Linked DNA regions of Ovis aries. The protein of the gene in region 1 interacts with the protein of each later gene in a pairwise test. Links are inferred from orthologs where the notes say so. Each region holds a gene or a part of one and is shown on either strand. Other genes may lie near its edges. The genes, in order: RHEBL1 and TXNL4A.

Region 1 (4,262 bases):
CCCCAATCCATTCTCCACAGTCAGAAAGATCTTTTAGAAACACAATTCAGATCATGTCATGCCCCAATTTACTTAATGACACCATCAACAGCCATCAACAGCAGCTTTCTAGGTATTTAGAATTAGCCCAAACTACTTTACATGGGCTAGCACCTGCGATCCTCTTAGACTTCATCTACTTTAGGCTAACTGGCTTTCTCTCTTTTCTGGATTTTCACAAACTTATTTCCATCCTAGTGCCGGTGGATTCTTCTGTCTGAATGTTTACCTAGCTGGCTCCTTACTGTCATTTGAACTTCACCTTGAATGGGGCTTCTTTTGAAATGAAAAGCCACTAATTTGTGTCACTAATGACTAATCCGTCATTTCTTATCACAGTTCCCCGCCCCCCCCCTTTATTTTTATTTATTTGTCTGCACAGGGTCTTAATTGCAGCATGTGGGATCTTAGTATCCTGACCAGGGATTGAACCCCCGCCCTCTGCATTGGGAACAAAGAGTACTCTGCCTTGGACCACCCAGAAGTCCCTTGTAACATTGCTTTTTTTGTTGCACTTAATATTATCTAACATTTACTGGTTTATGTTTGTTTCTTCCCAACTGAATTTTAAGCTTGTGAACTCAGAGACCTTATCTATTGTGTTCATCACTCTTATCTTCCAAGATGGAGCAATAACTAAAACATATAGTATATGCTTAATAAATATTTGTTGAACAAATAAATGCTTTGATTGTGATAACGATAACAGCTAAACCTCAGAGGACTTGGCCACAAATTCTAACAATTTTTCAAGGAATAAGAATCGCAGTTCCGAAGTTAGATCCTGGAAGACTACAGAAACCTTACAATAAAATATCTGGGGCTAAAGTTTGGAGGGGGATATATTACAACTTTGGCCTTTTTTCCCTACCCAAGGACTCCGGAGATCTTGCAAAAGGGAGACCTAGAATCTTTTAACCATAAATTCCAGCCCAGCCACAACGCTTTTCCATCCACGATTCTTTGCAGCCACTATTACTAGATTGCAAACGCGCAAACACCTCTAGGACCCCGGGTTCCTTTCTGTTTCTTTATGAATGAACCGGGTCTAGTGTGCGCATGCGCAACTCCTTTTTCTCCCGCTCCACGTGAGGCCCGCCCTTCCCTCCTGCTAACGGCTCCGCCCCTATCCTTTCTAATGGACCAATGGCGAGCGGCCTGGGGGGCGGAGCCCTGAGCGGCGCGGCAGTGTAGTTCCCCGGTCGCCCGGCTCCCTCGCCTTAGTCTTGCTGTGTTGTGATCACGTGGCCAGCTCCGGGCGCGGCGCTTGTTTTGGTTTCCCTCTAGCTTGCCCCTGGCAGCTTCAGAGTGAGCGACTTTCCTGTGCCGGTTGCCACACCTGACTGCACTGCGACTTTCTCTTCTTGGGGCTCTCTCAGCTCCAAGTTCTGCAAGCCCCTCGGGGCCGGCTCCTGCCATGCCGTTAGTTCGCTACAGGAAGGTGGTCATCCTCGGATACCGTTCTGTAGGTGAGTCTCCCTCTAGGGCAGAGCACCGATGCACCGCGGCTTTGTGGCCAGAGGAGGCGCACTGCCGCGGGAAGGCGACCCAGGGAGAAATGGTGGCATCCTTAGAACCAGCTTGTAGAGCGAGGACTGAAAGGTTGGAGTGGGAAAGGCTGGGGTGGTGGTAGTGTTCAAGGCGGCAGGAAGCTGGAGCATGGAAGAGTATACATGGGCTTACTGCTTGAACACCACAGTGGTCCTCAGCGTTCGTTACTCTGGGGGGGTGGAGATGGGGGCAGGATTTGGTGGCGGGGGCGCGGTCTGGGTGGGGCAAGTCTCAGGTGTCGGATGCAAGGCTGACTAAATCCTGGGGAATCCGGATCTTCCCAGGAGTTGGGTGGGGAAAGACTGCAGGAAAAGCTTCCTGCGTCGCTACTGTATGCATCCGGTGGCCAAGGTGCAGAGACCTGGGGCGAAAAGAGGGTGAAGGAGTCTATGGGAAAGCATTGCATGGGGCATTCACAGGCTAGGATGCTAATTCGGGGTTTCCTTTAGTCCAGGGCCACAGCCCGAAAGGACAGAGGAAATGAATGTGGATGGGTGATTTGGCTACAATTACCTCTGCTTCCCACAGGGAAGACATCTTTAGCACATCAATTTGTGGAGGGAGAGTTCCTGGAAGACTATGATCCTACTGTGGAGAATAGTGAGTAAATTTCTCCTCTTGGGGTGGGGTAGGGAGGGCTTAGGTGCCCCACCCAAGGCCACACTTTGGGATTTTCCGGGTGCCAAAGGGATGATTTAATTAGATATTAAATCGAGTCTCTTCTCTATCAATCCTGTTCTGTGAGTGGAGCTAGAGTGTGCATTTTCCAAGATACTGAGTCCAGGATAGTGCATGTGTAGACAATAAGAAGCCTAACATTGTATCTTAAGTTTCCTGGAGAGCTCCTTGAACCTGGCCCATCTATGTTAATATATAGGGGCACAGATTGCTCGCCGTACAAGGCACCTCACAGTCAAGTTTTCTTTTCTTTTCAGCTTACAGCAAGATAGTGACTGTTGGCAAAGATGAGTTTCACCTACACCTGGTGGACACAGCAGGGCAGGTACCAGTTTGGGGTAGGGTGTCTAAATGTGGCAGTTCAGTCCTGGGAGATGAAGTCTGGTAGCCTCTGAGGCTCATCTGTAAAGCAGTATTAAAAGCATTTTAGCAGTATTTCAGTGTGCAGTGTTGTTTGGAGCTACTCTATAAATACTTGTTGGATAGAAGTGACCGGAGTAGGGAGTGCCACAGGGAGGGTCCCCAGGATGCAGCCCACCAAACTTGGCCATCTGAGTCTTGTGAATCAAGGTATTGATATTTCTGTTTCTTGTCAGGATGAGTACAGCATTCTGCCCTATTCATTCATCATTGGGGTCCATGGTTATGTACTTGTGTATTCTGTCACCTCTCTGCATAGGTAAGTGACCGAGGTTGAGAGTGGTGGACTTGGGAAGACCTGAGGGCTATCCCAGAATAAAATTGTAAGATTCTTTTCTTGTGTTTAAAGCTTCCAAGTCATTGAGAGTCTGTACCAAAAGCTACATGAAGGCCACGGGAAAACCCGGTACGTGGCACAGGGGATAAAGACATAGTGTGGACACCACGGAAGACGGAGGGCAGAGGGGAGTATTGATCCAAATTAAGGAGGAAGCCGGAACATCGATCCTATCTGGTTTGATGGGGAGTTGTCCAGCTATGATGTGAAGGAGGTTGGGGTCCATGGGGAACAGAGGGGATTCTGTTGTAACTGCTGTCTCCTCCCAGGCTGCCGGTGGTGCTGGTGGGAAACAAGGCCGATCTCTCTCCAGACAGGTATGGAAATCTCTGTAGCTTAAGGCAAAGGAAAGTGTCTAGGAGTGAGTCAGGCTCTTGTCCTGGCTCTGCCACTGATTTAAACCAGTTGTTTTACCTCTTCGTTTCTAACTTGAAGGTTGAGACAAAATGATCCTTCTATCTCAAAAGCTATAATTTCATATTTCAAGCCTCAGTCCTAGGTTCCTTTGTTTTCTTGTATTTTCTTCTTCCACAGACGTTCTCCCAAACCTTGGAATGAGATGAGTCAGAGGAAGTCTAGTTTCTGTAAAGATTTTTCAGAGAGCATGGGGCCCATTGCTATTTTTCATTTTCATGTCCTGAATTTGCTTCTAGGGAGGTCCAGGCTGTTGAGGGGAAGAAGCTGGCAGCATCCTGGGGTGCAACATTTATGGAGTCATCTGCTCGGAATAATCAGGTATTGGGCCTGAAGAGTAGGAGGGTGGTGGGGGCAGCAGTGTTTTTCTTTTTATGCCACTGCTTGGTGGTGGGGATGGTGGGGGAGTGGGGCATTCACCTAAGAGTTGGGTAGTATTGGCAGTGAACTCAACCAATTTTTTTTTTTGCCCTGAATCCTTATCCCTTGCAGCTGACTCAAGGCATCTTCACCAAAGTGATCCAGGAGATTGCCCGGGTGGAAAATTCATATGGGCAAGAGCGCCGCTGCCATCTCATGTGAGCCTGGAGATGAGCCCTTGAGCAAGGGGCAGCTGCCTTGATTCTGCCCCTGGTACTTTCCAAGCTCCAGTGGGGGCTTGTGGGGGCGCTCTCAGGACTTCACGGGTTTGTTTGGTTGCCAGCTGTGTCCCTGGCCCTCTAGGCACACAGTGAGGTACCCTCATGTTTGCACACTTACCCAGGCTCCAGTGGCCTGGTTGTCCATGTTTACAAAGAGGCAAGGATGTCTCATGGGCACTGTC
Region 2 (4,462 bases), on another chromosome or scaffold:
ATGGATGAGAGAGTTGGACTGTGAAGAAAGCTGAGCGCCAAAGAATTGATGCTTTTGAACTGTGGTGTTGGAGAAGACTCTTGAGATCCCTTGGACTGCAAGGAGATCCAACCAGTCCATTCTAAAGGAGATCAGCCCTGGGTGTTCTTTGGAAGGACTGATGGTAAAGCTGAAACTCCAGTACTTTGGCCACCTCGTGCGAAGAGTTGACTCATTGGAAAAGACTCTGATGCTGGGAAGCACTGGGAGCAGGAGGAAAAGGGGACGACAGAGGATGAGATGGCTGGATGGCATCACGGACTCAATGGACGTGAGTCTGAGTGAACTCCAGGAGATGGTGATGGACAGGGAGGCCTGGCGTGCTGTGATTCATGGGGTCGCAAAGAGTCGGACACAACTGAGCGACTGAACTGATACTATTTAAATTTTACGATAACAATATGACCAACCTAGACAGCATTTTAAAAAGCAGAGACATTACTTTGCCAACAAAGGTCAGTCTAGTCAAGGCTACAGTTTTTCCATTAGTCATGTATGGATGTGAGAGTTGGGCTATAAAGAAAGCTGAGCACTGAAGAATTGATGCTTTTGAACTGTGGTGTTGGAGAAGACTCTTGAGAGTCCCTTGGACTGCAAGGAGTTCCAACCAGTCCATCCTAAAGGAGATCAGTCCTGGGTGTTCATTGGAAGGACTGATGCTGAAGCTGAAACTCCAATACTTTGGCCAACTGATGCGGAGAGCTGACTCATTTGAAAAGACCCTGATGCTGGGAAAGACTGAGGGCAGGAGAAGGGGAAGACAGAGGATGAGATGGTTGGATGGCATCACCGACACAATAGTCATGGGTTTGGGTGGACTCCGGGAGTTGGTGATGGACAGGGAGGCCTGGCATGCTGCGGTTCATGGGGTCGCAGAGTCGGACACGACTGAGCAACTGAACAACAAAAAATGTTTAGAAATACTAATTTCAATAACTTATTTGGGGGGCATTTGCGTCTTACCAGTACTCTTCTGTTAATGAACCGCTTTTCACAAGTAAAGCAACTGTGCTTGCGTCTGGAAAGCAGGGCCTCCAAAATAATTAGGGGGCTCTGTGTGGGAGTGAACGGCGACGAGCCCTTCTTCAGAGAGGTTATCCTCTTCGTTCACTCCCTGGTCCCAGTCGCACCGAGGAAACTTGAACGCCGACTCACTGGAGACACAGTAGGTCTGAAGCAGCCGCCGCCTCTAAGACGCTCATGACACTAAACCCACCTTCAGCCCCAGTACCTGAGCGGAGTCCACGCCCCTGCCCGGCCCGGGCGCGCGCACGCACTGGCCGGCGCACACGCTCTGCGGGCGCGCGCACGCACTCGCCGGCGCTCACGCTCTGTGGGCGGGCGGGCTCACTCGCCGGCGCTCTCGGCCTGTGGGAGCGCTCCGCGCCCGGAAGGACTGCTGAGCGGGAGGGTCCGGTGTGGGCAGAGGTGGGTGCGCGGCTGGAGACGGTGGGAAGGGGGCGGCGAGTGATGCGCGGGTGTGCGATTCCAGGGGTCCCCTCGCCTTGGTTTCTTGGCCGGGGGACAGTGGCGTTCCTGTGGCGGGATCGGGGTCGGAACTTGGTAGACGCGGGCCTGGCCCTGCGGGCGGCGCATCGACTGCCCCTCGGGGTGAGCCCCCGTGAGCCGGGGGCTCCGTGGGCTCCGTGGTGAGGCTCCGTGGGCTCCGTGGTGAGGCTCCGTGGGGTGGGGCCCCCGTGGTGAGGCTCCGTGGGCTCCGTGGTGAGGCTCCGTGGGCTCCGTGGTGAGGCTCCGTGGGCTCGGTGGTGAGGCTCCGTGGGCTCCGTGGTGAGGCTCCGTGGGGTGGGGCCCCCGTGGTGAGGCTCCGTGGGGCGGGGGGTCCCGTGGGTGTGCCATGGGGGGGCTGGGAGGAACTGGCCGGTGATTTCCCTCCACTCCCCCGCAGACCCATTGGCTCAAGATGTCGTACATGCTCCCGCACCTGCACAATGGCTGGCAGGTTGATCAGGCCATCCTTTCGGAAGAAGACCGCGTGGTCGTCATTCGATTTGGGCACGACTGGGACCCTACCTGCATGAAGATGGATGAGGTTCTGTACAGCATTGCTGAAAAGGTAAAGCAGCCACACCTCCCGTCACGTCCTGCCGCCAGGTTTGGTGTTTGCATCCTGTCGGATTGCTGTTGTTTTGCCGGTAAGAATTAAAAGTACAGCCAGTTCACCGGTTAAAGAGAAGCAGTAGGATTCACAGAAGTACAGACATACCTTGGAGTATGAGGATGGGCTCCCTGAAATTGGTCAGAATAGCTTATATCCTTACTGGCAGAAGTTTCCATAGATTCTCAAATTTTTAAGAGGTTCATGATGTCTCTCCTTGAAGAAGTGATTCTTATTAATTTATAGCGGTTTTAACTCATAGGTGTTTTCAAAAATTTACATCTATAGTGCCAGGAGCAAAACACGTTTGCAGCATTTGGCTGAGTGTAGGAGCTTACTTTGAATGGCTTAGTTTAAAAAACTTGACTTTTTTTTGGTACCGTGTTTGTTTGTTGTATGTATTGAGCAGAACATCTATGGTAACAACATAGTAAATTCCCTTCTTTTTCTTTGAGTCCCTTCTTTACCCCAGGGTGCTCTTTGTAAGTGACTTGATTTATAGCTTAGAGTGATACCAGTGTAGGAAACACTGGGAAAAGGTAGAACTGTAATGTTAGAACTAGTTTTCCTAATCCTTAAATTTAGTACAGGGGGTTGTCTGTGGCCCTTTGCTGACAATAAAGAGCAATTGTAGGGTACTGTTGAGTAACTAGGGCTTAATTCTCTTTCTGTAATTGTCTCATGGGTATTTTAAGGTAAATTTGATTTAGATTTTTGCAACTGTAGTAATAGGGCAAGAGGCAAAAATATTAGGGTATTAATAAAAAGTTTAATATTCAATGTTAATTTGAGAGGTTATTCATTTTATTAAAGAGTATAAAAATAAGGGAAACATTGAAGCCATCATTTATTTCACAGGAGTAAGATATGCTAGTATGGGCTGGATTAAAATAACTCCTTTGAGTAAAGAGTAACAGGTGTAAGGATATAGTTTGTATTTAGGAATTGAAAAGTAGTCTGACCTGCCATCAGTAATTTTCACTGTCTCCTCTTTGGTAGGACAGGCAGAGTGAGGTAGGGGTGATGGCACTCTGAACATTAGGGACTATCTTTCTGTGTCTGTCACCGAAAGTGCATCTCAGAGAGTCTGATCCTGGAGATCTGAGATGAGATCCAGAAGCTCCCCCAGGAATTCTGAATCCCTTCAAGGAGATCCAAGTCAGAGCAGGAGTCTGTGGTGATAACCTTACCCTCCTCTTCCTCTTGGACAGAAAGGTGTTGAGGGAGCTTGAAGAGATGCCTGGGGAACTCAGGAGAGCAGGGTTCTTCCAATTGGGTCCTCCCTGTCAGGTCCGAGGTCAGGAGTGAGGTGGTGCCCAGAAGTCATTTCCCCATGACTTGAGCCACAGTGGTTAAGGGCAGAGACTGCAGAAGTCAGTGATGATGGATGAAGACCCTGTTTCAGTAAGTGAATCACTGCTGTGTGGACGCTGATGTAACTTAGGTGGGTGTTCTGGGTTCTGCCTTGCAGGTGACAAGTAAGCATCAGGGGATGTCCAGACCCGGTGGCCCTCAGCACGAGGCTAGAATGGCAGAGGCGTGAGGGTTGTTTGCTGTTCATATCTGAGCAAAACTCAGCAAGATACTCTTAGCTAGGAGACAGATTTTGTGTCAGTGTAAGTTTTTAGGGACTTTTACCAGAATTGTTCTTTTCTAATCCCTATGTAGCGGTCAGAGACCAGATTGCTATACTGCTAGCAGGTGGCTCTTTTTGGAATGGAACCTGTTGGTAAGAACAGTTTAATTGGGCTCACTTGGAGTATTTTTCTCTAGTCTTTTAAGTGATTCTTTTTCTTTTATCCCGATTTCTATTTTAATAAACTTCTAATACTATGTAATAGTATAGTCTTTAAAAATGCAAACTTGAAATGCGTTACACAAATGTTAATGTTCTATTTTCTGCTTAGTGTAAGGGCAGAATATGAGTTTATAATTTTGGAAGCCCTTTTTGGGGACGTTCAACAGGAATTTTTGAAATCTAAGGTTTTAGTATAAAGAACAATTTAACTGTCTATCTCCCTCTGCAGAAATGGCAGATAATGGGAGATCTTCCTCATCTTGTTACGAGCTCTGTTTGGATACCCCAGCTGTTTTAAAGTGAGTAAAATTCCAACATTGAGGCTGGACTTGATTATACTATTCTCCTGGAATGTGTTTTATTGACTGACTGCTTCAGCAGCCCCAACCCCACCTCATGCTGGATTAGTTTTGAGCTGTACTGAAAACATAGAGATACGTTGAAAGATTTTGCAGATGTTTGCAGTTTGGTAGAATTATTATCAAAATAAAGTTCCAGGACTTCCCTGT

Evidence for each region.
Region 2: the proteins of RHEBL1 (region 1) and TXNL4A interact in a two-hybrid assay, tested with the Homo sapiens proteins (2 studies listed by BioGRID and IntAct). The link is inferred for Ovis aries from reciprocal best matches to the Homo sapiens genes RHEBL1 and TXNL4A.

What each region holds. Positions count from the first base shown.
Region 1 is NC_056056.1:137,161,915-137,166,176, forward strand, and holds the start of RHEBL1 (GTPase RhebL1), read left to right. Parts: upstream 1-1,256; 5' UTR 1,257-1,456; coding exon 1,457-1,508; intron 1,509-2,118; coding exon 2,119-2,190; intron 2,191-2,525; coding exon 2,526-2,593; intron 2,594-2,864; coding exon 2,865-2,947; intron 2,948-3,037; coding exon 3,038-3,094; intron 3,095-3,294; coding exon 3,295-3,342; intron 3,343-3,678; coding exon 3,679-3,760; intron 3,761-3,931; coding exon 3,932-4,021; 3' UTR 4,022-4,262.
Region 2 is NC_056076.1:701,254-705,715, forward strand, and holds the start of TXNL4A (thioredoxin-like protein 4A), read left to right. Parts: upstream 1-1,388; 5' UTR 1,389-1,467; intron 1,468-1,945; 5' UTR 1,946-1,960; coding exon 1,961-2,113; coding exon of another isoform or gene 2,114-2,192; intron 2,193-3,823; exon of another isoform or gene 3,824-3,884; intron 3,885-4,182; coding exon of another isoform or gene 4,183-4,252; intron 4,253-4,462. UniProt on the Homo sapiens protein: Plays a role in pre-mRNA splicing as component of the U5 snRNP and U4/U6-U5 tri-snRNP complexes that are involved in spliceosome assembly, and as component of the precatalytic spliceosome (spliceosome B complex).